Oryzias latipes: one gene and its partners. The protein of the gene in region 2 interacts with the protein of the main gene of each other region in a biochemical or structural test. Links are inferred from orthologs where the notes say so. Each region holds a gene or a part of one and is shown on either strand. Other genes may lie near its edges. The genes, in order: death domain-containing protein CRADD-like, ripk1, tnfaip3, otud1 and ikbkg.

The links.
Region 1: the proteins of ripk1 (region 2) and death domain-containing protein CRADD-like form a complex in vitro, tested with the Homo sapiens proteins (2 studies listed by BioGRID). The link is inferred for Oryzias latipes from reciprocal best matches to the Homo sapiens genes RIPK1 and CRADD.
Region 3: of the proteins of ripk1 (region 2) and tnfaip3, one has a biochemical effect on the other in vitro, tested with the Homo sapiens proteins (2 studies listed by BioGRID). The link is inferred for Oryzias latipes from reciprocal best matches to the Homo sapiens genes RIPK1 and TNFAIP3.
Region 4: of the proteins of ripk1 (region 2) and otud1, one has a biochemical effect on the other in vitro, tested with the Homo sapiens proteins (2 studies listed by BioGRID). The link is inferred for Oryzias latipes from reciprocal best matches to the Homo sapiens genes RIPK1 and OTUD1.
Region 5: the proteins of ripk1 (region 2) and ikbkg form a complex in vitro, tested with the Homo sapiens proteins (4 studies listed by BioGRID). The link is inferred for Oryzias latipes from reciprocal best matches to the Homo sapiens genes RIPK1 and IKBKG.

What each region holds. Positions count from the first base shown.
Region 1 is NC_019881.2:23,808,432-23,814,891, reverse strand, and holds the start of death domain-containing protein CRADD-like, read left to right. Parts: upstream 1-2,674; 5' UTR 2,675-2,850; coding exon 2,851-3,148; intron 3,149-6,403; coding exon 6,404-6,460. UniProt on the Homo sapiens protein: Adapter protein that associates with PIDD1 and the caspase CASP2 to form the PIDDosome, a complex that activates CASP2 and triggers apoptosis.
Region 2 is NC_019875.2:26,464,952-26,470,460, reverse strand, and holds the end of ripk1 (receptor-interacting serine/threonine-protein kinase 1), read left to right. Parts: intron 1-677; coding exon 678-754; intron 755-899; coding exon 900-984; intron 985-1,059; coding exon 1,060-1,647; intron 1,648-1,715; coding exon 1,716-1,859; intron 1,860-2,702; coding exon 2,703-2,998; 3' UTR 2,999-3,652; downstream 3,653-5,509. Other genes in the region: opsin-5-like, read right to left, coding at 5,090-5,509. UniProt on the Homo sapiens protein: Serine-threonine kinase which is a key regulator of TNF-mediated apoptosis, necroptosis and inflammatory pathways.
Region 3 is NC_019873.2:16,691,390-16,697,264, reverse strand, and holds the end of tnfaip3 (tumor necrosis factor alpha-induced protein 3), read right to left. Parts: coding exon 5,755-5,875; intron 5,608-5,754; coding exon 5,466-5,607; intron 5,321-5,465; coding exon 5,150-5,320; intron 5,045-5,149; coding exon 4,864-5,044; intron 4,748-4,863; coding exon 3,750-4,747; intron 3,664-3,749; coding exon 3,458-3,663; intron 3,319-3,457; coding exon 3,043-3,318; 3' UTR 611-3,042; downstream 1-610. UniProt on the Homo sapiens protein: Ubiquitin-editing enzyme that contains both ubiquitin ligase and deubiquitinase activities.
Region 4 is NC_019878.2:19,215,194-19,221,712, reverse strand, and holds otud1 (OTU domain-containing protein 1), read left to right. Parts: upstream 1-1,349; 5' UTR 1,350-1,640; coding exon 1,641-2,915; 3' UTR 2,916-4,066; downstream 4,067-6,519. UniProt on the Homo sapiens protein: Deubiquitinating enzyme that specifically hydrolyzes 'Lys-63'-linked polyubiquitin to monoubiquitin.
Region 5 is NC_019865.2:4,851,536-4,855,702, forward strand, and holds the start of ikbkg (NF-kappa-B essential modulator), read right to left. Parts: upstream 2,801-4,167; 5' UTR 2,451-2,800; intron 1,958-2,450; 5' UTR 1,956-1,957; coding exon 1,817-1,955; intron 244-1,816; coding exon 1-243. Other genes in the region: transmembrane emp24 domain-containing protein 4, read left to right, coding at 4,026-4,161. UniProt on the Homo sapiens protein: Regulatory subunit of the IKK core complex which phosphorylates inhibitors of NF-kappa-B thus leading to the dissociation of the inhibitor/NF-kappa-B complex and ultimately the degradation of the inhibitor.

The DNA of each region.
Region 1 (6,460 bases), on a different chromosome or scaffold from region 2:
TGTTTTTATACTTCATTTTTAGCTGCTGCCATGTTCTTTTAATTCCTGCAGGATTGAATCTACATGAAAATGAAATCAGGGACATTGAATTACATTAATGTACCAATTACTTTATGGAAACACAATTTGCTAGCACTGCTTACTTTCTTAATCCCATATAAACCACTTGATCAATACAAGGGTAGACAAAAGGTCACTTTTAAAAACACAATTGCATGTATTAATATTAAACTGACCAACGTTTGCAAGAGGGGAAGGTTAACAAAAAAGTCCTCTAAACATTACCGACGTCAAATGCATTTTCCCCCAGATTGGTTCTGTACACTATGCAGCATTTCATGCAATTACACCAGGAATAACACTTCAAAAGTAAACCTAAATATCACCATTTTTTATTTCACACCTTACGCTATTTAAAAAGTTATTACAGCCAATATTTTATAACAATGATTTAAATGCAAACTTAGGCATAAACTTGAGCAGCTATGTTTTGTAACTGGGGTGTAACTGTCTCTGTTTTGCAGATGCAGCGGTGTTGCTTTTCTTCTGGAATATGTGCTCATATTCACTGTAACTCTGCAGCAGCACGTCAAGTTCAGCTGGAGAAAAATATGCAGACCTCTTTTTTTCACGGTTGCCATGGTGACTCGTAATATCTGCGCTCCATTGATAATGGCTTCTTATAGTCGCGGTGCGCACGCCTAACTCTGAATCAGTCCACTCAGAGTTGATTGATCTAACTCCGATCAGCTGCTCTGAAACAGAAAACTCAGAGTTGTTAATCTCTCGATTGACCAACTCAGAGTTCAGGTTTAACCTCAGAGTTGGTTGAACCTCCTTTCTGAAACAGGCCCCTGAGCCCACTTTCAGTGTGGACTTTAAACATGCTCAATTCTGATTGGAGAAAGTGGTTGCCATGGAAACGTGTTCTCAAACTGACTCAGACCAATCACTGCTTATTGAAGTCGTCTGGCTCCAAATGGCGGCGTCCGCATTCCAAAAAAATGGCGACTCCATCTCCTTCCTTTGGCCGGAGCCAAACATCAAAGTTTGGCCACAGTTTTCTGTGGGTGATGTCACTCCGTCCAGTTCTGTCATTCAGTCGCTGTATGAAGATATTTTAGACTTCTGGAAAGTTCTGGTCTCCAGTTTCTTTCCTGGAGCAGGTCGGCTGGTAAACATTTGTTGTCTTGTTCTTCGTTTTTTTATTTTCAAGCTTTGTGCTCGGTAAACAACGGCTGATTGGATGTTGAACTCTTTGAAAAAAGGAAAGGTTTGGGGACTCACAACAGGGGATCCGGTCCTTTCCTCACAGGGGATCCGGTCCTCTCCTCACAGGGGATCCGGTCCTTTCCTCACAGGGGATCCGGTCCTCTCCTCACAGGGGATCCGGTCCTCTCCTCACAGGGGATCCGGTTCTCTCCTCTTCGTTCTGCAGGGTTCATCCTGGAACCAAGATGGATCATATTGGATGTAAAGCAGGATCATCTGTTATTAGTTGTTATTTTTGTGGTCAATGTGAAAACAAGCAAAGTAATATTAACAGATTATTGTTACGACCCTGCTGGTGCTGTCTGTGCCCCATCCACCCACGCCCCGGACAGTCTCAGGGGGGAAGAGTTAGGCAGAGAATCAAAGTCTCCTTTTCAGCATCAACGTCCATCTATTCGAACACACACAAACAGCATGGAAGGGGCTTGTGTTCCCAGCATTCTCACTCATGGTTTTCACAACAAGATTCCCCACTTCCTATGAGTCTTGGGGGCAGAAGGCGGGGCTTTCCCTCAGGTCGCTACATTATATTCACAGATTATATTTACAGCACTACGCAGGTTTTTATCCAAAAACATAAAGATTTATATCTGATCAAGGAGGAAAACTCGACTTATCTCCAAATGATCGTTTGGGTAGATTTGAATAAAGAGCTCAACTTTTCCTTTTTGACGTCACTATGACGTCATTTTAATCAAATGACCGTTTTGCAATTGTTCAATAAAAAATAAATATATAAAAATAAATAAATAAATCTAAATTGGAATTGTTGAATGCGGACATTTCTGTTCTACAACTTCAGTTCCGGTGTAGGTACCGGATGTTCTCGGGTTGCCGGATGTTCTCGGGGTCCTTCAGGGTCCTTCCAATGAGTTATATCACTAGAGGAGACATCACGTGGTTCCTCATGGGAGGAGAGCACCGCCATCTTGGTGAGGTCAAGTTTTGAAGCCCAAACCACTTTTATAACATTTAATAAAGAGCTCTGTTTTTGCTTTCAATCACTTCATTATATGAAAAAGAAGAATGGCTTGAAATTGCTTAGTTTTGTTCAGAAATACAAACTTCACGAGTACCCCTAACTTAACTAGTATTAGACTACTTAGATTTTTTCTATGTTCCTTTATTTTATTTTACTTATGTTTTTATTTATTTGTGTGTTATGTTCATTGTTTCTTTTTTCCCCTCTATTCTTTATTTTCTATGTTAATATGTTATGTTTGGCAATGGTGACTGATCTTCGAGGCAATATTGATTACATCGTTATTGTTCGTTGTTAACGTTAATGTCATTGTTAATGTATGATACCGCAATTGTCAATAAAGTTTTTAAAAAACTTAGCGACGTTAACTCATTGGTCGTGGCAACTTACAGCCAATCAAATAGTGTGACGTCATCATTGGTCGAAGGACCCCGAAGGACCCCGAGAACATCCGGCAACCCGAGAACATCCGGTACCCACACCGGTTTTGTTGTTTCCAGTCGGGCACAATAACATGGACGGACAATGACTAACTGGACCGGTTAGTTGGAGCTGGCCGCAGCGACGGACCCAGCACGGGTGTGGTTCGGGTTCGGATGGATCCCGCGCACAAAGCTGTGCTCCGGAAGCTCCGCGCGGAACTCTGCAGCCAGTTGATGGTCAGCGAATCCATAGTTCCGGTTCTGTTTCAGGAGGGCGTGCTGACCCATGCGCACGTAGAGGACATCGAATCGGAACCGACCGACACGAGAAAGAGCCAGAAGCTGCTGGACATCCTCCCGAACCGCGGGCCGCGAGCTTTCCCCGCCTTCATGCAGTCTTTGGCGGACTTCAGCTGGATCCGGGACCGGCTGGTGCACGAGCTGAGGACCGAACCGGAACCAAGAGCCGCAGGTGCGAGTGGAGTACACTTGGGAGCGGTGTGGTACCATAACCAGGGAGGAAGAGGAGGATGAGTTTAGAGCACCACTACTGTTCAGTGGTGTGATGATGACGTCAGAGAAATGGTGACAGTCAGCAGGTTTCATGATGCAAATCTGTTCGGTTTCAATCATTTCATGTCATAAAAATGAGAATCTCTGCGGCTCAAACTTAGACATATGAAAGTCCAATAAATGAAGATGGAAAAACATTTAATTGAATTGGAGTAAAATGACATTCAGTTAGATAAATATGGAAATTTGAGTTGTAAAAAAATATTGAGTTGTTACCAATTGAAATAATTAATTTAAGTTGGATAATTTTATAATTTATATACATATATATATATATATATATATATATATATATATATATATATATATATATATGTATATATATATATATATATATATATATATATGTATATATATATATATGTATTTATGCGTCAAAAGGAAAATGGAAATGAGATCAGAAACTCGTGCGTTTACTTTGTCTGTTCTACTCCAAGCAGAAACTCTTTCTTTGCTGATGATGCAGCCGTGTTACTTTTTTGATGGTCGTATAATCTTCATACGCCGTCATTTAAATCTCCGACTCCGTCTCACTGAAGTATAGCGCTCTCTTTGGTTCTCCACGCGTTTCCATGGTGACTCCAGAAATATGTGATCTATTGAAAATGTCTTCATGTACCTGGGGCCTGTTTCAGAAAGGAGGTTCAACCAACTCTGAGGTTAAACCTGAACTCTGAGTTGGTCAATCGAGAGATTAACAACTCTGAGTTTTCTGTTTCAGAGAAGCTGATCGGAGTTAGATCAATCAATTCTGAGTGGACTAATTCAGAGTTAAGCGTGCGCACCGCGACTATAAGAAGCCATTATCAATGGAGCGCAGATATTACGAGTCACCATGGCAACCGTGAAAAAAAGAGGTCTGCGTATTTTTCTCCAGCTGAACTTGACGTGCTGCTGCAGAGTTACAGTGAATATGAGCACATGTTCCAGAAGAAAAGCAACACCGCTGCATCTGCAAAACAGAGACAGTTAGCGTGGAAAACATAGCTGCTCAAGTTTATGCCTAAGTTTGCATTTAAATCATTGTTATAAAATATTGGCTGTAATAACTTTTTAAATAGCGTAAGGTGTGAAATAAAAAATGGTGATATTTAGGTTTACTTTTGAAGTGTTATTCCTGGTGTAATTGCATGAAATGCTGCATAGTGTACAGAACCAATCTGGGGGAAAAATGCATTTAACGTCAGTAATGTTTAGAGGACTTTTTTGTTAACCTTCCCCTCTTGCAAACGTTGGTCAGTTTAATATTAATACATGCAATTGTGTTTTTAAAAGTGACCTTTTGTCTACCCTTGTATTGATCAAGTGGTTTATATGGGATTAAGAAAGTAAGCAGTGCTAGCAAATTGTGTTTCCATAAAGTAATTGGTACATTAATGTAATTCAATGTCCCTGATTTCATTTTCATGTAGATTCAATCCTGCAGGAATTAAAAGAACATGGCAGCAGTTAAAAATGAAGTATAAAAACATAATTCAATCAGGTCAAAGTTGAGCATGTCATGGATGTAGGCATGTTGACAATATTTGACATATGAAACATCTACATAGCAATATCTAATGTTGTTTTCATTGTATATATGTAATTGACTGCAACGAAAAACGGTAACGCTCAAACAAAAACGTCTGGGGAAATGACAAAACATCGAGTCTTCTCAAAATCCTCGCACGACGTTAATGTAATTCTCTAGGAATTAATGCAGCCTCCTCGTCTATTGGGTCCTCCAGAAAAGGACAAGCCATTCTTGTCACTTAGACCGTCTCTGTGTGACGGAAATGTGGGCAATGAAGGTTAAAGTGAAAAATACCGCTTCGTCTTTAAAAAGGGGAGGGGACCGGCAGAAACCTTGAGTTTAGAGAATAAAACCTGCTCCCGACCAGGTTAGGTTCACAGCATAAGTAACCATGGACACTGACTCCGAGTATAAGTTACCTCTCTTTCAGAAACGGGTTTGACTTACTCTGATTACTCTGGTTTAACAAACCTCCCATTCTGAAACGGAAAACCCAGGGTTTCCCTGATTTCAGGGTTAACATACTCAGAGTTTACACTAAACCTCCTTTCTGAAACAGGCCCCTGCTGTGCACGTGCGTTAACCCAGGGTTACCAAGTGGAGCGTGATTACGCCAACTCATATCCGGTCTTTTGTAACCGACATACCCAGAGTAAGCAAGTTCAGGCGGATTTCAGCCAGAGTTCAGGCTTAAAGTCAGGCTAGTTTAAACATGCTTCCTGGAATACCCCCCCGTTCGGGGTCATGGGACTAGTGCTGACGTCACATGACGTGTCAGACAGTGATTGGTCTGTAAATGACCATACTACCAAATGTGACGGTGTGGCAGCGTCAGCTGGCGGTGCTTTCCACCCTGTTATTTATTTTATGTTTTAATGTCTAAGACTGACTCCTGCTATGTTACCTGGGAGGTAATGAAGGGCAACGCCCAATAGGAGGGGCTTATCATTCAAAAGGGAGCATCACAGGAAGTGAAAAGGGAGAGTTGGAGGGTGTCATGTGCTGATGTGGCCCCGCGTGGAGCGGTTTAGTGATGGCTTCTTGTAATAAAGAACACATAAAATAACTAACAGGGTGGAAAGCACCGCCAGCTGACGCTGCCACACCGTCACACCATAGAAGAAGAAATCCAGCGGTCCGTTGTAAACAAGCGGAGCGCCGACACAGAGCGAGATTATCTTCTAAACTTTTATTATTGTTAGGATTGTTATTAAGTGCATTTGCAGATGAACAGACTGCAGTCAGAACCCTCTGGACCGCACACTGTACCAAAGCACCGTCCCCGCCTGCAAACACGAAGCTACGAGACTCCAGCTGGGTCACATGATCCGAGCCCGGGAACCTCCTGAGGCGGGCTGAGACGTGGTTCTTCATCAGAGAACGGACTGGACTTTGAATCAGTCCTGAATCGGGTCAGGACAGTCACTTCACCATGAGCCCACAGGCTGCTGATTGTAGTGGGCGGAGCCTACACAACTCTCACTTTGACCCGCCCAATCAGCGTGTTTGGAACATTAGGTGGGCGGGGTTAATTCCCATCAGTGTCAGAACCAACCTGGTTTTAGACACATCTGTGTAGAGGAAATGTAAAGCATTGAGCAAATGTTCTGCTGAGTTCTGACTGGAAGGTTCTGTTTGCAGACGCCTGTGGCCTCTCGGACTCGGTTCTGGAGAGGGTTCTGTCGGATCAGGAGCTGT
Region 2 (5,509 bases):
CCTCACCCTCTCCAGCAACGCTGACGACCAGCAATTCTGTGTGAGGTGACCCGACACTCATGAGTGAACAGGGCAGCAGACCATTGCTGGATTGTCCAAGTCACATGGTCTCGCACTGCAAATGTTCACGGCGGTGTCTTGGTGTCAGTAGAGTCACCTGCAACAGTAGGCAGGTATTATAGTCAAGGCGGTGGAGCTGGTTGGGAATGGTTTGTCTGGAAACCCTAGTCCCCCCATCACATCTGGTAAATGGGCTTGCAGCTGTGCGGCGTTTGCTAAACCGTGTTGGAGGTCAGAGGTCCTTAGGTTCTGCTCATGGTTGCGGTCTGTCACTGGGTCTGTCCTGAACTCTGCCAGTAGTCTGCTGATGACACTTTGAGACAACCTCACCTGCAAAATCTGACCACCGACTACTAACCTGAATGCACGCTATGGCCAGGTGCCGCTGCTCGTTTGTTAAGTGACACTATGTGTTCATGGCTGTTTGAATGACCTCCTGACAAAAATCAGCTTTTTCTGTTTAAATAGATGCCCCATTGAAAAGGTTTTCCTTTTAGAATTGTTTGCTTTTGGTCCCTATGAGTAATCCACTGAGTTTTTCACAATATCCTTAACTTATTGTGAGTAGTGTAACTTCTCGCAATTACTCTAACTTTTCTTTTTATCTTTTTTTGCAGAAGCCTACGACATTTTCTGTCCTTTTTATGCCAAAAATCTGGAACCCCATATAGAGAACGATTTACAGGATCTGAAGGTGAATCCTTTGAGAGCAACCATTTAGGTTTAGCTTGAACAGAATTTATTTTTAACATTTAGTTTTTTTTTTTTTTTTAGTTTGGAGATCATCACAAGCAATTACTGCGTTAAATATATGAATGTATTTTCTTTTCTTTTTGCAGGAAAACTATGAGGGCCCAATGACACTTGTTGAGAAGATGAAATTACTGTCTGTGAGACATGACAGCTTTTTGACAAACGAGCAAGGTTGGTCTAAGTTTTATTCCAAACAAATCCTTGAAAAAACATGGTGAAAAAGTTAACATCTTTTAATTCCGTTAGATTCCCCTGCTCCTTTGGTGAGTTCAGATACAAATGTTTCGGTACCAGTTGAAGCCAGCATCGAGGATCTCCATGTCATCAACTATAAACCATTGGGGGATTCCATTCAAGCAGATGCCAGACAACCTTCAGAGCTGGAGGAGAAGCTGGGTCGAGAGCTTTATTACCACATACATGGCAGCTATAACTCTGACATGCATCCCCCGGCCGCCAGCAGCTACTACAACAATGCCCCAAATCACCTATTGCAAAACCACGTCAGTCCCTTGGATCAAAGTGGGAGGCCGCCGGCAAGAGACACGTCCTCCGTCCATTCCTGGACTAAAGAGCCGGTGCAGCCGACCGGTTCAGACCAGCTTTTCTTTCCTCTGAACCCAGTGAATCCCAGTTCTATGGCCTCACCAACGCCGACCCATTTAAATGCCTCTGCCAGTATGTCCTCTCTGCAGCAGGTTAACCAGCATTTACACCCCCATTTAGACCGCCAGCAGTCCTGGCCAGTTTACCCGGTTCCTGATACCTTTGTTCCTGATATGAATGCTAGTGGCTGTGGGACCCCGTCTAAAGGTTTCCAACCACAGGAGCCAGGTACACAAAAACGCACTCGAATACTTCCATCTGCTTGGGGACAGTGACTTTACATGTACCTTCTGCAGGACCCCTGTTCATTCAGAACGCCAGTGGGATCCAAATCGGAAACAACAACACTCTGAGTATCAGAGCCTTTGACAACCCCGTTTCTTCACAGTGTGTGTCTGGAAGCAGCTTGTCTCCCATCCAAGAAGGCCTTTTAAAATACGGTCAGTTCCTTTTTTTTTGTGGATTCACACACTATACTTGTGTGTTAAAGTTTAGAAAAAGTTAGATTTATAATTATTATTATTAATAATTATTATAATTTGTGGTTGCCGATTTAATTCATTGTCAATTCAAAAAATTGATGTCAAGATTTGAGTAAAGACATTAATTCTCTTTATAGATGTCCTCCATCGTGAGAAAAATGCTAAACGTGTTAAAAAGCACAATTTTCAGAGTGTGTCTTTAAGTGTTTATTAATGGCTAAAATGGGAATTTAAAGATATTGAGATCACCACTAAATTACATGTTTTTGAAAGTTGAAAATAATTTTGATGCCTAAATACAAATTGTTTTTTAATATTTGTGTAAAATTTTGACATAAAACTTCTGTCTTTATTTGTATAGTCAACGTTAAAATGAAAGCAAAAAAAAATAATGATAATTTTTTGTTACATTTTTAAGCTAAAGGAGCCTTTTTTATTTAAATAAACAGGTCTGTAGTTTTAGTTCACCATAAAAAAATGGAGAATGCAAACAGGAGGAGCTCCCTCTGCTGGACAAAAGGTGCTATTGCTCTTTTCTGAGAAGAAGTTGTTGGTTGAAACTTAAAAATGCTTATCATTTATCTATTAATGTTTTTGGTATATGAATTAGATCAGTGCAATACCATTCAGAAATGGTAAGATATATTATTTTATGAAATAAAATAATTTACTGATTAGTTTTGGCAGTCAAATCCAACAATTGTACAGCCTTTTCCAGAGTAGTTGTAGCTTTTTCCATTTTTGCCATATGATGCACTTAATTATTTACACTGGTTTTTTTATTGTTTTTAATGTTTTTAGAGGACCAAGCCGTGACAGAGGAGCACCTGTATTTGCTGACAGAGAACATAGGGAACAGCTGGAAGCGCTGTGCCCGTCGGTTGGGTCTAAAGGATGTGGAAATCCAGACCATAGAGCACGATTACTACCGCGACGGCCTGCCGGAGATGGTCCACCAGATGCTGGAGCGCTGGAAAATGAAGGAGGGATCCATTGGCTGCACCGTTGGAAAACTTTGCAGAGCTCTGGATGGAAACATTAAAGTAGATGTCATTCAGAAGATACTGGACATGTGCGGTCTTTCTCACGTGGCCTAAACCTCTGGCGCTCTTCAGTTTGCCTCATTTACTTCTAACCAAGTTGGACAAATGTATTGAGGCCTTTTATCCTATATATGTGACTTAAATGTTGCCACAAATCAAGCCTGGCTCAGAATAACCACACCATATCCTTCAGTCCACAGTATTACAGATTTCATTCTATGTGTGCCATCACGTGACCCGTACAGGGCCAAAACCTCAGGTATGGAAATGGTATGTTTTGACTTCATTTGATCAAAACATTAAAAGACGTAAACAGTCAGCAAATATGTGCAGTTTTAACAGAATCAGAAGAATACAAAATGTCAGTAGGTAACATGAACGAACATTAATGAATTTTTGTAATGACGTATTGCTGGGGTGTCTGTGGTCATACTGTAAAAAATCCATGTTTTTTAGCTTTAAAAAAACAAACCTGCTTTTGTACTTTGAGAGTTTTATGAATATCAGTGTTGGATCTTCTGTGCAGACGCCACTTTGTCTTCTACCTTATGAGTTGCTTTACCTTATGACGGTCTGACTGATTTTATTTTATTTACTCATGTGACTTCCAATCTGTACAATTCTGTGATTTTCTCTTGTAAGGTAAACTTCTTGAACTTTGTGGTTCTCTCTTTTGGACAATCCAAATAAACGCAGAACCAACATCTCTTCCGTATTTCTCTGCTCTTTCTCAAATCTGGCTGCCTGCAGATGCGTCCTGATCGCTTTACTCCGTGTCTGGGCTCAAAAGCACACACCTCATCTTCAGACCAATCTTTTTAGTCTTTCTGAGGGACACAAAATGAGAAAAGAAAACATTGTTTTCTGAAAAATCCTCAAGGGCTGACACTGAACGAAGATTAAAACTACATTTTAGCACAACATTCGTTAGATTTAAACACAAGGTGAGTAAATACCTCCTTTGAAAATCAAACTTTTCTTTTTTTAATTCTTCCAAGTCTAAACAAACAGAACCCATGGAATCTACGCAAGATTTATGGTCACAAATCGGCAGGATTTCAGTTCTCTTAACAATAAATAAAGGTTTTAATGACTCAAAACAGGCGAGTATATTTGTGTGGCAAAATAAAGTTGGACAAAAACAAAACATTTCATTTAATTGGGACAGAATGTTTGTGCAAATGTGAAATCAGCCAATTTTTAGTATCTTATTTTACAAGTTGAAAGACCTTTAAAAACTCAGAATTTTGGTAATTTTTTTTAGGTTCCACAAAATAAATAACCAATTTGACCAACAAATCCCTTTTTGTGTGTGTACGTAACCCATCCTGAATTTGCTCGATTTGTAGAATCTTTTCTTGTCTGCCAACATAAAACAGTTTTTTTATTTTATTCATCTGGAGGTGAAATAAGTCAAATTTTTTGTTTTGCTCATCATGACTTATTTGAGGTTTCATGATAGGAGAGACAGTTGAGGACCCTCAAAAGCTTGAATAATTAAGAAAAAAAAAATCAGTGCACGAGATGACTAAACCCTTAAAGTCCCAGACAGTGACATGAAATGTGTACAAGTGGGAAAAATAATTAAAATCTGGATGTTTATGTGACTGAAGAAACAGCTTCAGATCTGCAGCTTTCAAGAGGAAACGGTGGCTAAGGGGCCATCGGAAGGTCATTGCAAACAGTTTTTTAAGAAAAACGTCTCATTTTTATCATCAACACCATGCTGTTGGTATGAAAGATCAAGAAAACCTTGTCAGCAAAAGAGAAAACAGAAGTTTTTTTTATTTTTATATAAAATAATTGTTTTTTTAAGAAAAAGCATTTACTAGTATCCGTATTTTTACTTTGCAGTTTAATATTTTCCTGTATTTTAAAGTCTTTTTTCCTTTGATAATTACATTTCTTAATGGATCAAATACAGTTATGTTAGGAAAAAACTAGTAAAACTCAAAGTTACCTTGACTTTATTTTAAAAAGAGTGCAAATGTTGCTGGGGCATAAAGTTTGTGCCTTCATTCCCATTTTTAACACTTTTAAACAATATTGCAGAAAAATGAGCAGATTTGACAGAAAAAAATCTACAAAATGAATAATGACAATTAAAATAAAGAAGCTTATAATATTGTTTTCCAGTCCGCATGATCAGTTCCAAGCCTCTTGGCTGGGCCTTGGAATCATCTCCAAGGTAATGTGGAAGTTGTTTGTTTCTGTCGTCCTTACTGTGGCCATCAGGGACTTCCTGGAGGAATCTCCTTCACTAGTCTGCTTCTGCCTTTGCGAAACTGGCGTTTCTTGATCCACTGATGGGTCCCTGTTAGCTGCCTTGCCATTGCCAGCACACATTGCTGGGTAGTGTCTGAAGCAGGTGAACGTATCCTCACACCTCTGACAGCTCTGACCTTCTATCGTCATTATAGGTGGAGAGACGGATGAAGGGAAGCGGCTGGTTTGTCGGTGAGTTGTGCCAAGTCCAACCCTGATGTTTATCTTTCTGCAGCATTTAGTTTGGCCCTTGGGCCAGAGGCAGCCCTTCAGATAGTTATGGTAAAGTTCTCCCACATC
Region 3 (5,875 bases), on a different chromosome or scaffold from region 2:
TCCAGGAAACCACACCGCTGAGCATGTCAAGCCCACGCAAAACCCCACTGTCCCCACGCTTACTAAATGTCACCCTGTCCCCCTGTTATGGCCCGTTCAGCCAATTTACCCATTCTTAAACTGCCACAACCCCCCCTCCCACTGAAACCTCTACCCCTCCCACGTGCGCTTTACTTATATATATCTATATATATATATATAGATATATATATCATTTTTTTATGTGAGGGTGGGGGCCCTGACACCATTGCCCCAACTTTAACCTGGAAACAACTGAATGAATGTACTACTAAGAAAAACATGCATCACTTGAACTTTTCAATGTGGAAATCTGTGAAGTTGACAAGAGAGAAGCGGAGGAAGACTAAAGCAGTAACCCGGTTAAGCCTTCTAGTAAATGGAGCACTCTGCATTGTAAACAGAGGCCTAGATGATGTTATCTGATAGCACCCACAGCCCAGTGCATATCGACAATAATAAAAATATTAAAATAAATTACAAAAAGACAGATCTAGCAGGGCAAATATCATGTAATACCTCAACAGCCCCACCTTTTATGGCAGAGGGGGGTCAACGCAAAACACATGAGTCAAGAACCACACCAGTCAGATTTCTTAATAAAAATAATTCATTTCAAGACAACATATAAATAATTATTGAATCACACAATACAGATATCTTGATATGAATAAATACTTAACAAATAAAACCAGTATTTGTTTCATACAACACCCTATCATCAAAAGAAACTTCCACACCGTTTGCATGTTTTTTGTTACACCTTCTGCCCTTAAGCCGATGGTTTTTCCTACTGCTGGAAGGTCCCTACACAAGTCAGGCGACCGCTCCTAAATGCCTCAGCAGCTTAGACAAGTCATGTGCAACTTTTAAAATCTCCTCTCCACCAAACTCGTTCCGAACCCCCAAAAGCCATGTTTTTTGAGGGCCAGTAGAGCTGGCTGCTAATTGGCCTGTTATTGGTTAAGGTTCATCTAGAGGTGATTAAAGCACACAGAAATCTACATGCAGGCCATCAGCGTGTGGGCTGGCCTGCTGACAGCTTTAGATACAGTTGAATGAAAAAGGCAGACCAAGAGCCGGTGAGTCACTTAGAACCGGAGCCACAGATGGACATCTACAGCTCGGAGGGGGAATAACTCGTGTGAGCTATCACTTTTGATTTCATTGGATTGCTGTTTTATCCACTTTTGCAGATAAATGACTCTGTAAGTTGATTTGGGGATTTTTTAGGTAAATTTGGATAAAAGATTATGTAAAAACGAAGATGTCCATCTGTGGCACTCTAAAATGACACAGGCTGGCCATTTTAAGGAGGTAACAACAACTGTTTGGCAATTGAGGGCACATGTTTTTTTTTTGTCTTTTAGCAGAAATCAAATATATCAAAATACTTAAAAAATAATTTAGGAAAAATCAACAAAACAGGAATGTCAGTTTCTTTGTGTGTTCCAGAAGCACACATTCGTGCATTGTGTGTGTGTGTGTATGTTGAAGATGAGGCATCGAGTTGGAAGGTCCTTAAAAATATGGACTTGGATCCATATTCACAAAAAAGCGTTTTAAAGGTGGGAGCACTGATCGGGCCCCTTCTGGTCCATTAAATGTCATTACTACTTAAAGGCAAAACTTATGGAGGATCAGCCCCAAAAAGTGTGCTGAAGTGAAAGAAACAGCACAAAGATAAACTTCAGATAAACAAGATTAGCCAAAGCAGGCGATGACATTGGTCTCTGAAGTTGTTGCCTTGGCAAATCCGGCGGGGTGGAGCAGGAAGGAATGCATCTCTTTACAGGTTTACCTACATCACACCTCAAGCTCGAGCTGGGCCTTACAATCTCACAGAGCTGTGTGCAAACCGTGTTTGTAGTGGCTAGGTGAGGTATTATGCAGACTGACGTACTTCTTTTGTTTTTTTATATTCTCACAGGTTCTCTTTATCATTGGAAATCCCCCTTGACAAAATCAGCGGAGCTATATCAGTGCGTGCGGCAATCTTCTACGCGTTTCTAGGTGCTTAGGTCGTTAGGTAAAGACAAAAACGGTGTCCAAGGCAACAGATGTGTTTTGAAAAAAGGGGAAAGAAAAGGGGAAATGAAAGGAAGTTGAGGAGGAATAGAAAGAGGGTGACTCCTTCTCTTCTGCATTCACTGCCGTCTGGGTGCTGACACCGCCAGCATGTTGGCTACAATGGAGAGACTTGATCCTGTACATGTAGCACCAAAACTAGCAGGGTCCTGCCCTGTCTGTCTTGCACCGTTAAAACTAAATGGTTTGTTTACATTTTTCTTATTGAAGAACTAATAAATTGCTGCTGAACCAATGAAGAGATTAGAGATTCACACTGATAAAAACTCAGAGGTAAAAAAAAAAAGTGAGATTTTGAATTTTAAACATTGGGCTTCTTCTTACTGCTTCAACAGACACTCAGTTGGGATTACCCAACGCCTGCATGTCTCACTCTACAGAACAAATGCTTGACAGACAGGTAGACGGATGGGTTTAAAATCAAATTAGATAAAATAATCAATGGCCATACATACATAAAGACGGACACAGGGTATGAATCCTTGGCTGTGGTCGAGAAAGCAATGTCAGATGCTTCATGTCATGTTAACATACAATCATTTTGTCCGGCACGATTCGCTACGTACCTCTAGATACATAATGTACACAAGGGTTGAGTCAGTTGCTCTGACATGTAGCCAAACCTCTTACCGTGTAAGAACACACAGCAAATCAAGATGATCATAATTGCACAGAGAGGTATTCTGGAGGCCATGTCTACTGCAGACGAACAAACACACAAACACACTCGTCACCTCCCCCCCATGTACACACACTCTCGCTTCACATTCTACATGGGGGGGTTAATTTTCAGGCCATAAGGTTACTAGTTACTCACTAGCTAGTTAGTTAGTTGGTTAGTTAGTATCAGAAGTGCATTGATAGGCATGAGGAGCCCGCAGCAGGGCGTTGGCTCTAGCAATGGGTTTTCATCGTCACTTTTGAGCGTGGTCGTGGTCAGCCGCGATAAATCTGTTTGAAGTGGTCACACTCGTTGCAGTAGCCCTGTTTCTCTTGGTTGGCGTAGTGGTCGCAGCCCTGTGTCCGGCACCGCTGCTTTGACTTCTCCTTGGGCGCCTGCGCCCGCCTTCCCGCCTCCCTGCCTTGGCCCCGTGTGTGGCACTCCGGACAGAGGTCCGTGCAACCCGGCGACACGTTACTGCAGCCGCTCCGCCGGCACTGAGTCTGGGTCTGGGATTGCTGTGAAGATCTGGGCTTGGCTGCTCGGTCGCGCTTTTGGTGCAGACAGAGAAAAACAAAACAAAAAGAAAAGGGTCAACTAGGAAGTGCTGAAGAAAGGTAGGCAAATAAAAACAACTGATGGAGGAGACACGGGCCACACATGATGATACCAGCAATGGCACACACATACCATGACTAGGGGAGGGGAGTGTTGTGTGCGATGAGCCACCTGGTTGAGCCGTGCACTCTGCTCTTTGACGTAGCACTTGTCACAGAAGCCCTCCAGCATTGCTTTGCCAACTGCTCCACATCCGGCCCCACGACAGCGTGTGGCATTCTGGAAACCCGTGTCCAACCCGTGCCGACTCTGAACTGGTGCTGGGGGTGGAGTCAGGTCTAGAACAAAGAGTGGTAGACATGAAGAATTTAACACTATATATGTTTGACAGAATGATGAACTTTAATAGGACTTTAGGACTTACGGTGGTTGGTCTGATAGTCTACATAGCAAATAGTGCAGAAACCCAATTTTTCCGGTGTCCCAAAAAACTGGCAGCCCGATCTTTTACAAAGTTTGGCAAGAGGGGCCTGCCAGCCAGGCGTGTGTCCTGGGGTTAGGGTGAGGCATGGCCGCTCAGTGCCTCTGGCCTGACTCCAAGCAGAGGATGAGGCCTCAGTCCTGGGGTTGCTCTGCTGGGGCTCACCCCTCTCCGGAGCTTGCTGCCTCTGCATGCAGAGTGGGCACAGGCCATTGAATATCCTGAACGCCTCCTGTCTGCACATGTTGCATCGCTCTGTCTCTGTCTCACAGCCCCCCCACTGGGTCCAACCAGAACCCTGGGCCGGGTGGGAAATGACAGGTCCCCCGTTGGGGCCTGGGAGTCCTGTGGCAGCTGTCCCAGCTGCAGGGGGTGCGTGATTCTGTCTGGAGTTGAAGCAGCGCTCGCAGAGTCCATCGTGCTCCACACTGAGAGTGAACAGGCATCCAGGCGTCTTGCACTTCATGGCGTGAGTTTCACTGTATAGGCTGAGGCTGGGGGCAGTGGGAGGAGCTGAGCGGGGGCTTGACAACACCACGCCTCGCCCAGAAGAAGAGCAGAGGGGACTGCTGCTTCTGGCTCCTCTGGAGCTCACCTCAGCCTCTGATCCTCCCATCACTCCTACTCCACCCTGCACACCAGCTCCTTTGGCCTGAACCACCCCCTCTATCCTCGCTCCTCCACCGGTGGTGGCCTGTCGCTTCTCAAAACATTCGTGGCAATGAGGCTGTGTGTCCACAGAGACGTAAAAGGTGCACCGTGGCGTGGCACAGCGGATCTCAATGAGGGAAAGCTGAGATACGGAGAAGGGGGGAGGGCGTTGTGGCTGGGCGGCCCATGCCTGTTCCTTGTCTTCCTGCCAGCGCTGATACTCGTGGTTGACAAGCTGCAGGTAGTCCTCCATCAGGTTCATATCCTCTGGAAGGTTCCCCTCATCCAGCCTTAGGAAAGAAACAGTCTTTTAGTGTCCTTCACATTTATAAAGACTACTTTGAGTCGTTTAGAGAAAACAAATGTTTTAGATTTAGGATTTCACAAAAGAGTTGATAGTACACACCTTGCAGCTTTCATGATCCAAGTGACATCGTGGCCCAAGCCTATGACGGGGATCTCCATCAAGTGAAGGTAGTCATTAAGAAGTCTCTCCTTCTGTGGCTGTTCCTTCTCCATCAGGAAGTGAACCTTCAGCTCATCAAAGCCTCCTCTTCTTGGGTTGATCAGCGGCACTGCTCGAATCTCTGCAAAGATCAGTGCAGGTCAAGCAGACAGTCTCATCCACAGAAGGTGGTCATTTTTCTTCCTGCCATTGCAGACTTTAGAGCCCCTGCTTTTGTGTTTCGTACCTGGGCCACTGTCTTTGATGGTGATGAGAGGCGCAAAGTGCTGGGAGTCGTAGCCAAGCACTATTGGGTATTTGTAGCACTCCGTGGGCGGCCATTGCAGAGGCAAGTATATCCCACCTACATTCAGTGGAGAGATGGAGGAGCCTGATTTCATACTCCTGACCACCTGATCTGTTAAAAAAAAGAAAATAAAAGAAGAAATAAGCAAAAGAGCAACAAACATCCTTTTCTTGCTAAATTAGTTGGCATGTCCCTGAAAATGAAACATGTAAGAAATAAGATGAGTAAATAAGCTGTAGGGATCAAAGAAGAGCACCTGCTATGACGACGATGGGCCTGCGGAGGATGTTGGACAGGATGAAGATATGAATGTCCTCCAGGGAGTCAAACTGGAGGCCGTTACTGCTCGAGACTGGAGACGCCATTTTCACAATCTTATCCCATTCCTCCTCCCAGTTCTAGGACAACACACACTCAGTTAGGCCTTACCTGGACACTCATAGTGCCTGCAAACATAATTTTACTTCACACCACCAACAGGCACTGTAAAGTATTGATAATGTTTATTTTGGGGTGAACATAAACAGGACGTTGGGTCATCCTACCGTGGTGGTGTACCGCAGTCCTGTTTGGGTAAACTCTTGGGACTGCAGCAGCTCAGTTTGGAATCGGGCCTTAAATACTCCAGTGTCTGTCTCCTTGAGGACGCTGTGGAGAGTTTTCCTT
Region 4 (6,519 bases), on a different chromosome or scaffold from region 2:
ACTCCCTCTGGTGGTCAAAACGCGAACGTGTAATTGTTGGAACAATGATAATGAAAATGTAAAAATATTTTTTTTGGGTTAATGGTAAAATAATGGGCACCATAAGCTCAGTATTTTAATATTTTTGTTCTCTTTTTTTTCCCTCAATGACAACAGATATTGTTGAATAATTTAATTAATTTCTCCATGTTGTGTAACCAATGTTTCCAGAATGTTCTTCCTGAAAAGATTGGATTACTTTTCAGCTGTGGGTTTAACTGACGCCAGTCGGATGTCTATTCCAAGCACGCAGATTGAGTTCCACAATCCACAAGCTCTGACAGTGTAAGTGTTTAAAAAAAGCTTCAGGAGCATATCTAAGCATTGACATGTCTGCCAATAATGTCCAATGGACATATTCACATGCACCAAATACTTTCAGCTCACAAACAAATTATGCTTTTACATGGTATTTTAAGGTTTGTTTGGATAAAAATTGACATTTTTATTGATATAAGAAAAAATACTTTTATTTTGCTTCTTTTAATGTATCAAAAGGTTGTGTTTTTCCATTCATAAGGCATCAATAATAAAAATTCATGAATTAAAATAAAAACAAATGACAAAAAAAATGTAAAACTTGTCTCAAAAAAGATAGATACAAAAAGACAGATACAAACAAGGCTTTTTAATTTAAAAATAGTTTTCTTTTTTTCTGTAACCCATTTTCAAATTAACTTGAGGTTCTGCGGGATTACAATTTTCCCTTATTAATGTTTTATTTAAAATGTTAAAAATAGATTTTTATTTTGTCATATAAAACTTTGCAAACCTATAAAACACCATTATTGTGAATTTTAGCTATAGATTTTTAATCATGAAAATGATTTTTGATGTTAAGTGTTAGGTAGCCAAATATACCATAACTTTGGGTTTAATTGAAAACGTTATAAGTACTAGGTTAGTAGTTAAGTTGGAATGTTAGAATCTGAAGGTTAAAAAATATACGAACTTAACTTTTTTCAAGTCTTTAGTTATTTATTTTTCTCCACTTACACAGTTAATAACATTTTCAACAACACGAGTTAGTCTGGACAATATAGGATGGTTAAGAAATGATTTTTTTTTTATTCCCGAAAACTCTTGTAACATTTTTATAATTTCTTTAACTTAAGATTTGTTTAAAATCATTCACAAAAATAGCATGAAATTAATAACAGCTATAAAAACAATCTACATAATATATTACAAAAATAATAATAAAAGTAAATGCAAATTAATAATTTGTGATTATAATCTGAGACAAATAAAATTAAAACATCCAAAAAACATTAAACGACGATGAGGGGTTTTATTTTGAAGTTTCCCAAACGGAACTGGTATTTTGTCCTCCGGGATTTGACGGGCTTTTACACTGAAGGGGTTTGGTTACAAACAGTGAAGCCTAAAATTAGGGAGGCACCCCAACAGCAGATGACGCCACACAGCTAAAGTGGACCTTGTCGTCGTCGTTGCGTGTCCCCGATAACAGGACTCGGGGCCATGGAAACGTTCCCCGCGAGTTTCCCGCTGTTGATGACTCCGGGGGTATTTTTAGCGCTCGTTGTCATCTTTTCGTAACTGCCCCGGCGGCGGTGTTCAGTATAAAGGACCGTTGGAAAATGCAGCTGTACAACAGCGCGCTCACACACTACCCGAAGTCGTCGCGGAAAGTTACAATAACTCTGTCTGCAGCCCCCGAGCGCCTGAACGGGACGCCGCGAACTTCCTCCGAGGTCGACTTTGCCCAACTTGACACAACTTCGTCAACTCACGCCGCTCCGCCCGCGGAGACTTCTGGAAACATGCCCGCCTTTTCGTGCTACGAGGCTGCTTCTACCAGGAGGCCGCTTTACTTCACCTCCACCGCCGAGATATTAATCCGCCGACCCGACGGAGTGCAAAGGCCGGTTCCCATTCACATCATCCGACAGCCCAAACCCCCCTCAGGCCGCCCCCACAAGCCCTGCAGTGACCCCGACCAGGAGACCATGGTGGACTGGACAAACCATCAGACTGAGGAGGCAGGCTGCACAGAACTGCCAGGAGGATCTGCTTTTAAGAGGAAGAAAACCACTCAATCCACAGTGGAATGTAAGGAGGAGGATTCTGGACCTTATAGGAGCAACGGATGGGCGTCATTCCATGAAGAGGAACTGGCCCCCTCAATGGTTGCCATGACGAAGAACTTCAGAACAGAGGATCTATTTGACATGAACAGTATGGAAAGTACACCACCATCAGGGCAGAACCAGACTCTGAAGCTCAGTGTCCTGCAGGAGTCGCCTCCGCAGGGGTCCCAGCAGAGAGACCACAAAGTCAGCCGGTACCTGGCTGAGGTGGAGAAGCAGAACAAGTACCTCCAGGAGAGGAACCAATACAGGTACCACATCATTCCAGATGGCAACTGCCTGTACAGAGCTGTGTGCAAAGCCACGTACGGGGACCAGACCAGGCACGGCGAGCTGCGGGAGCAGACGGTGCACCACATCGCCGACCACCTGGACGAGTTCAACCCCATCATCGAAGGCGACGTGGGAGAGTTCCTGATCAATGCGGCGCAGGACGGAGCCTGGGCCGGCTACCCGGAGCTCCTCGCCATGAGCCAGATGCTGAACGTCAACATCCACCTCACGACGGGCGGCAGCTCAGAGAGTCCCACCGTCTCCACCATGGTGCACTACCTCGGCGAGGAGGACGCCTCCAAACCAGCCATCTGGTTAAGCTGGCTCAGCAACGGCCACTACGATGTGGTCCTGGGCCGATGTCTTCCCAACCCAGAGTACGAAGACTGGTGCCGGCGCTCACAGATGCAGCGGAAACGAGACGAGGAGCTGGCAAAGTCCATGGCGGCCTCACTATCGAAGATGTACATAGAGCAGAATGGCTGCGTGTGAGGCCACAGTCTGTTCCTGATGGATGCTGTGGACTCTGCTTGGTTGCTTTAAATTATTATTCTTTTGTAAGTTTTCTAAGTTTGTCAGAAAAAAAGTGCAGTGCACATCGCAGACCATCTTTATTAGCACTTGTCAACTATTTTTCCATTTCTTTGTGTTTGTCTTTTTCCAAGTGGCACATAGCTGTATTATAGCTGCTCTCTTTTGCACAAAAGTCCTGTCAGACTCGTTTGGGAGAGTTGTATTTTGTGCTGCTTTCTTGTCATTTATTCCAAATGTTTGGATTGTTTTCTTTTTATTTTAAATGAAGTTTGTTGGGGAAAAAAACATGTTTTTATTTTATAAGATTGTTTTAACAGTTTTATTTGATTGTTTCCATAAAACTGTCATTCAGCATCGATGATCATGTCTTTTTAGTCGCACAACACTAATCTTATACAAACCCTCCCTTTAAAGTGCAGCATGGTGGGAAGAGATAAGAGATGCACGCTGCACTCTGATGCTTTGAAAGGTTAAAAGTTATGTTCTAGCTTGATTAGCTGGTGTCTTTTCTCAACTTGTGTAACATAGTTTCTTCAGAGCGGCAGGAGTTCAATAGAAATCTGCCTCTGAGTTGTGTGGCAGCATTTCCCATCATCCCTTTGTTTACACGCTCTCACAATAGCTTACAGTCCCAACCTATTATTTACCGATGCAACAAAAATGGCGAGCAATACTGGAGCTATCCGGCCTTACAGTTTGAGCCATATGCCTGCTCAGATGAAGAAAATGAAGACATACGTGGATCTCCTAATCTGCAAGTGAATCCATCAGATTGGACAACATATTTTCTACATCACAAACACGCTCTCTTTATAACAGAATTCTTTGTGTGTTCCTGATTTACAACAATAAAGAATAAAATTTATTCTAAAGAATAAAGAAATACTCAGAAATACCCATTTTAACTAAGTTTTTCTTTACAAATGTGCTCCCATCATCAAAAAAGGGCAAAAGAACATGTTAAAAAAACTGTTTTAATCAGAGTAGGTCTTTAAAATGGGAAAAAAAGTTTTAAAGACAAAATTTTCTGCAGAGTATTCAGTTACACTGTCACCCTGTTTATCCATGTTTTCCTAGATTCTTTGTTGCATTAAAGTAATGTACCATTCATTCAAAATGTGTTTTGTTTCCCTGTGGCAGATGACAACCTCACCGTGTTCCCATTCCATCCACTAGATGGCAGTGTAGGCTCCTCACATCTCACCACACAGATGTTTTTTATTTGATACAAATTAGGACGGAAATTAAAGGACTTCAAACTATAGGGATTAGAAAAATGCTAGACATCGTTACTTGGCGTTGAAAGAAGCCAAATAGATGATAAACACTTTTTCCTCTTGCAAAAATACTGAAACTAATCAAATGTGCAGCTCAAAGAACTAAATAAAGGACAACACGCGCACAAAAGATTACCAGTCTAAAAATAAAAAGAACCTCAATACAAATACAATTTAGTTTAAGAAAAAAAAACAGAGAACTAACTAAATGCAACCAACATGTTAAACCAAAAATAATTAAAGAGTTTGAGAACATTTTACAGGTAAAACAATATGTAATAAAACAATAAAAGTGCGCCAAAAGGCACGTGCAAGTGAACCAAGTGCCAATAGAACGGTATAAATAAATAAATACAATCATAAAAGATACGTTTTCTCTTCATCTCTGAACAGCGATGACGTCACTCTGCGGGCACTAATGCGGGGCAGAAAAGTTTTCATGTTTGTTGATGCGGGAAAGGAATAGTGGACGCCCCCTCTTCCCCAGCTCGATTCAGACCCGTTCAGAGCAGGGAGAAGAAGGCGTGCAGGTACAGCGGACCGTCACCGAGCGCACAGCTGGCACGCGCATCGGCGCGCGCGGACAGCCTTTCTTTATAAAAATATAAATCCACGGGTGCGCGCCGTTACGCATCTGAGCGGGGATCCCACGCGCAAAACGCAGCGGCACCTGAACGCATCCTCAAAAAGTTCTCGCATACTTGAAGAGGCTTTGACCTGCGGGGGGAAGAGCGGACATGTCGGGGCACCGGGTGCAGTTTGCGGACCTTCCTCCGACTGAGCACAAAGGGAGTCCAAAATTTCACAGTAAGAGATCATTTCTTTGGCTGCTTAATTTGGTTCAGATGATGAACTCTACGCGGATGAATAAGGGAAAATTCTCCCTTCTCAGGCCAGGGAAGGGAAACTTTTAAGAGCTTTATTTAGACTACAAGTCATTTTTAAACTCTACTTTAGCCTTAATTTGAAAAAAACGCAATTGATGCGTAATTTTAAAACTAGAGTTGAATTTTTATCTTATTTTCTGTCTAAAATGTTAGAAATAATACAGAATATTTTTCCCCATTACATGGCTCCTCTTAGCAGAGTATTTTTCTTTCTATGCGTGACTGTGCTGAGTCTCACCTCTGATCTCCTCCACTTGGAGATCAGTGCTGTGATGCCATTTGCCCCACTGTTATTATCTGAAGTGGCAGTTGCCCTTTTCACACTGCTGCTAACTTTCTTTTCTTTTGGCTCCTTAAGTGAGAGAAGCAGCTTCCTTTGAGCTCACCTTAAAGGGACTTTTTCCATTTCCTGCTTCTGTGTTTTTGGATCAATAAAATACAAAGATAAAGCATGTGGTTGTGTTGGCCCTGGAGGTGTGATCGTATCCGACTGGGCTGCTGTGTCTTCATTACAGCTCAAGAAAAATCCAAACTTATCTCCATGATGACAGGTTCGATTGGCAGAGCATGTAAATGAGGGCATGGTGGATAATTGCTAATTTGCTGCAAAGCCCTTTGGAAGCCCATCTTTACCTCCCTCCGGCTTCATGAAGTTCGTGGCTGAAGCCTTTCTGTTCGGTTGCAGGTTTTTTTTTTTGTGTGTGCAGTTTGGACAGTAACATGTGTGCAGACTGCAGGGGCAGAAGTGCTGATGGCAGTTGGAGCTCAGATTGTATGCAGGGAGTGTGGGGATGATGTGTAGAAGGGCACAACAGCAGCTTCAGCAGCAGCGAGCCACACATTCTGACTCAGCTAATCTGTTTTTCCTGCTGCATAGAAGCAAGCGACAGGGGTCAAGTTTCAGTCTTTTCCCTCTCGATCTTTGTGATGCACAAACCTGAGCAACATACTATTGCATTGTAGACTTGGAAGATGTTGCCAAAAAACACATTTTTTTCACTTGTTGTGAAATTGCAGATAAAAAAGCACCTCTGGCATGAAAGTAGGGCTGGGGTCTAACCACACTTCCTTCATTTACGCTGTGGCTGATAGTGATCTTTGTGCCACACTAAGGCAAGTCTGCAATGAGTAAGCTTGCCAAATCTTTGATTAAATCTGTACATTGATTAAAAATGTACGTTTAAGATTTACCCAAGATTGCAATTGAAGGCCAACATAATCTGTCCAACCTTGTTTGAACGGGCTAGGATTGTTTTTTGTATTTTATCGTTTTAAGCGAACCAAAAGGTTTAAAAAACAACCTTACCTGGCGCCAAACCCTGACGGGAATAATTTAAAAATTGTAAAGCAAAAACTAGCTACATTTGTTTGTCCTGTGACATACATGTTAATTAGCTT
Region 5 (4,167 bases), on a different chromosome or scaffold from region 2:
CCGGGCGTCCCTGCAGGTCTTCAGTCTGACTTGAGCTGCAGGACAGACCGGAAGACGGGGAGGAGCCTGGTCCGTTCGCCGTGACCTTCAGCGAGTGGTTTTCCTGCGCCAGCCTCTCCACGAGGGCCCTGGCCTCCTGGAAGCGACAGCTCAAAAACTCTCGCTCGTCTCTGGTTCTTTGCTGCCATCCCTCCATCTCTTCACAGCGCAGGCGGAGAGCTTGGTTGCTTCTCCGCAGTGCCTCTGGAGGAGCAAACATAAAGTACGACTTTCGTCTTTCGGTCTCACACAGAAGTTTATCCAAACTTTGCTGCCCTGACTCTGTTCTTATGCTGTGATACTATTCACAGATAGAAGAGACAGCATTTACCACATCTGAATGTGTATTTACATCTGCTAGACATGAAACCAACTTCCTGTGTGCGTTCAGGGCAGCTTGAAGTATCCGTCACTCCATTTTAACCAAAAATATCCTTTAAAGACCCACTCCGATCATCTTTTGATCTATTTTTAAACACGTTCTCAGTGGTCTTTTTGATATAATGCGGCCACTTTTAGCCATAATCTAAAAAGACTGCCATTTTCAAGGACATAATTCCTGCAGAGTGGCAGCGATTCATCAAAAATTGACCTCTGAGTTGTGGGCGGGACTGTTGACGTGGAGTAAGCCTGCCCCAACTTCCCGTCACTCACCTGTTTACCCGTTTTCCTGCTAGCTTACAGCCCCTCACACCCCCAACCTAACACTACCGGAGTGACAAAAATGCTGAGAAATATTGGAGCTATCCATCCGTCCAGTTTAGATCCAGATTCCAGCTCAGACGAGGAAAACAAAGACGCACATGGATCTATTTGTCTGCAAGTGGATGCATCAGAATGGAGCGGAGCAGGAAGTTTGTGGCCCGCCAATCATATTTTCTACATCACAAATAAGCTCTTTGTCAAACAGCATTTCACCACACACTCCTGATTCACAACAATTTGAATAAAGAAATACCCTGCAAGCTAAATTTTCTAAGACATCTGAGAAGATGATAAAAAAAAAAAAAAAAAAAAAAATTTTTAATTTTCATCAGAGTGGGTCTATAAATCAATCAAACTTTAATTATAAAGCACTTTTCATATAAAAGTATAACACAAAGTGATTTACATTAAAACAAAACAAAATAAATAACATAAAACAACAATTAACATAAAAAGAAAAATAATAATAAAAAAGAAGTATGAAGACAATATGTTGGAAACGCTAATAATTGGAACCTCCCTTTCTGTGAACAGCCGCATAACCAGCCAAATGCAGCATCACAGGCGGGGACCGCTCCACCACAGCTAAGCAGTGATGCAGGTTCCCATCCAGAGCCGCAGTGGCTGAAGAGCAGCCGATCCAGAGGGAGAGGTCCAAACTATGAAGGAGCTAAATAATTAATTATTTCTGTTTTTCTGATTTTTTTCCGTTTACAAAACAGGCAAATATGGTAAATAACTAAAATAGTGTAAAAGATGGTTAAACCACATATAGATTTGTTTTGAATTAAGCTTCTCTTATTTTCTGCTTTTACGTGTATAAAATATGTCAGTTAAAAAGCTGAGTTAACTAAAGCAGAAACTAAAATATATATACCACAATGTTTTAAGAAGTCAGCCTCTGATTATAAGCGAGCTCCACCCCGCCGGACCTAAAATGTATTTAACTTTAAAAAAAAAAAAAAATATGTTCCTGTCATGGATGAGAAATTGAAAAGAAAAGAAAGCGTAAACAGGGTCAGATGAAGAATCCTCGTTAAAAGTTGTGTGAGCGAAGCCGTGGGTGCGATACCTCTGAGCTGCTGGTTGTCACACAGTAATCTGGACACCACCTCATGACCAGCAAGCTCCGGTGGGACCCTGAGGGCCCCGCCACTGTCCTCCCCTGACATGTCCCACTGCATGGGGCCGTCGGGCTGCGGCTGGACCATTCCTGCAGGATTACAGTGGATTATCATCACACACCTGTCAAAGTCAACATCCAGTCCGTAAGCGTGGAAACAGGTTTGAGCCCTGACATGTGCACCAGGACCAGACTTTCACTTTCATTTTGATTCTTTTACTCATTTTTGTTGAAAATATGAAGCAGATCTGCTCCTTAAAGGCTTCAGCCTCTCTGCTAAAAAAAAAAAAAAAAAAACATGTGGACGTCATCCATGAACATGACTGCAGGTAAGGAAAACATTACGTCATCGTCATCACACCTTAGGCCGGGATAAAAGACACATTGGGTTTAAAATAGCTTTAAAAATGAAAGTAAAGAGAACGCAGTTGGATTTTAACAGAAAAAATAAATAAAATCAACGACCTAATTCCAAACTAGACTGATGTTTTTTTGGTTTTTGGACATCCGTGACTGTCTCTGAACAGTTTGGACGCATACATACTAGTTTATTTTAACAAAACAAGGACAGGATCTCTCTTACCTTAACTTCTTTTTCCCTTTGTTGTCCAGAATAACACACATCCAGAGTTTTTACAGTCCCCCCCTCAAACCTGCGCCAGGAAGGAAGCTCGACGAGTCCAGAAGCACTATTTTGGCTAATTTTTAGCTAGCTAGGCTAATGCGGCAGTGAAGGGCTGGGAAAGCGGCCTCGCTCCTCGGCTGTCATAAACACAGCTTCACGCTGGCAGACTATCGAACCTTAAAGGCACATTCTGTGTGGATGTAGGAGGCCTTTTCTTCCTTTGCTTCACGTTCGCTACGGGGTTTTCGTCCGAGCCGAGGCGACTGTTGTTAGCTCGGAAAATTCCTCGAATATTTTAACCCTGAGTTTTGCCTTTCAGGTGTCGGTTCTCCGGTTTGTAGATCTGAAAGGGGAACGGTTTGAGTATCTTATTTTAAGCACGAACAAGTGTGTAAAGTTTTCCTGCTGAATTAGGTTTTATAAATATAAGATTTTCTACTTTATTTTAATTGATAAAGCTTGCAAATATATTACAGTGAAATATAAAAAAATAATAAAACAGTGAAAGTTGAGTGGGATCACAAAACATTGCAAACTCAGCAAAGTCAAAGTCAGGTTTAGGGGGGGGGGGTGATGATACCAAAAAAAAAGAAAAAGCAGAAAAATCAAAGAAGAAGCAAATTGCAGAAACTGCAACACTTGTTCAAGTATCAGGGATGACTGGTTGACACACACAAAGAAACAGACACTTGATGAAAGAAACTGCTTGAATAAATCAATGCAATAAACATCCTAAAACTTCAATAATGAAGGGAACCAGACAACAGAACAGATAAAATGAAGAGGGTCTGCCACGAATCGACAACGGGATTAAAAACTTGAACCTGGAGCGCTTTGGACCCATGACTGAGACAATAATTTGATAGTATGCACTTTGAAAAAGCCCCAATTAGTAAAAATAGCCAATTTTTAAAATCAATACTAATGTTTTTCTGTTCTCACATGAGCTGCCGCCTCTGACCTGCACCAAAAGCCAGCCGTGTGCTAATGACACATGGGGAGTAACACAAACACAACAATGTGGGGATCCAGCTCATGTTCCCACAGGATTCAGTTCTTTAGGAAAACTGGATTTAAATGGATTCATCTAGATAGGGAGTGGGCAGTCGGGAGGGTTGAGGGCACTCTATGTTTTATAATTTCAGTTTTAATTGTTTGAAGTCAGAAAAGCACTTTGTGTTACTCTAGTAGGAAAAGTGCTGTATACAGAATGTTAAATTTGATGTTGAAAACAAAATAATCAGAATTTGCATCTGTTTATACAATATTGTATTATTTAACATGTTAGCTTGCAGCAGCACACCGTACATTAGCAGTTTGAACTGAAGAGACAGCCATAAAGAAGTGTTTACATCTTGGAGGAATTTTAAAAAAAAATTGGGCACCAAAATTAGGCCGCGTCAAAAGTTGCCTGTCAGGTAAAGCGCAGGGAATCTAAATTCCGGAAGATCCCCTTTCCTTCTTCCGCAGACGCTCGTGACGTCAGCAGGCCGCAGCTTCCTGTAAGCGGCTAAAGTGAGGGAGGTGACAAAAATGCTCTCCGCTCCCGCAGCCCGAGCTTTTCTCCTTCTGTCTTGGATTTCTTCGATTTCTGCGCTTTATTTTCACATAGGAGAGACGGAGAAGAAATGTTTCATAGAAGAAATCCCAGACGAGACGATGGTCATCGGTGAGT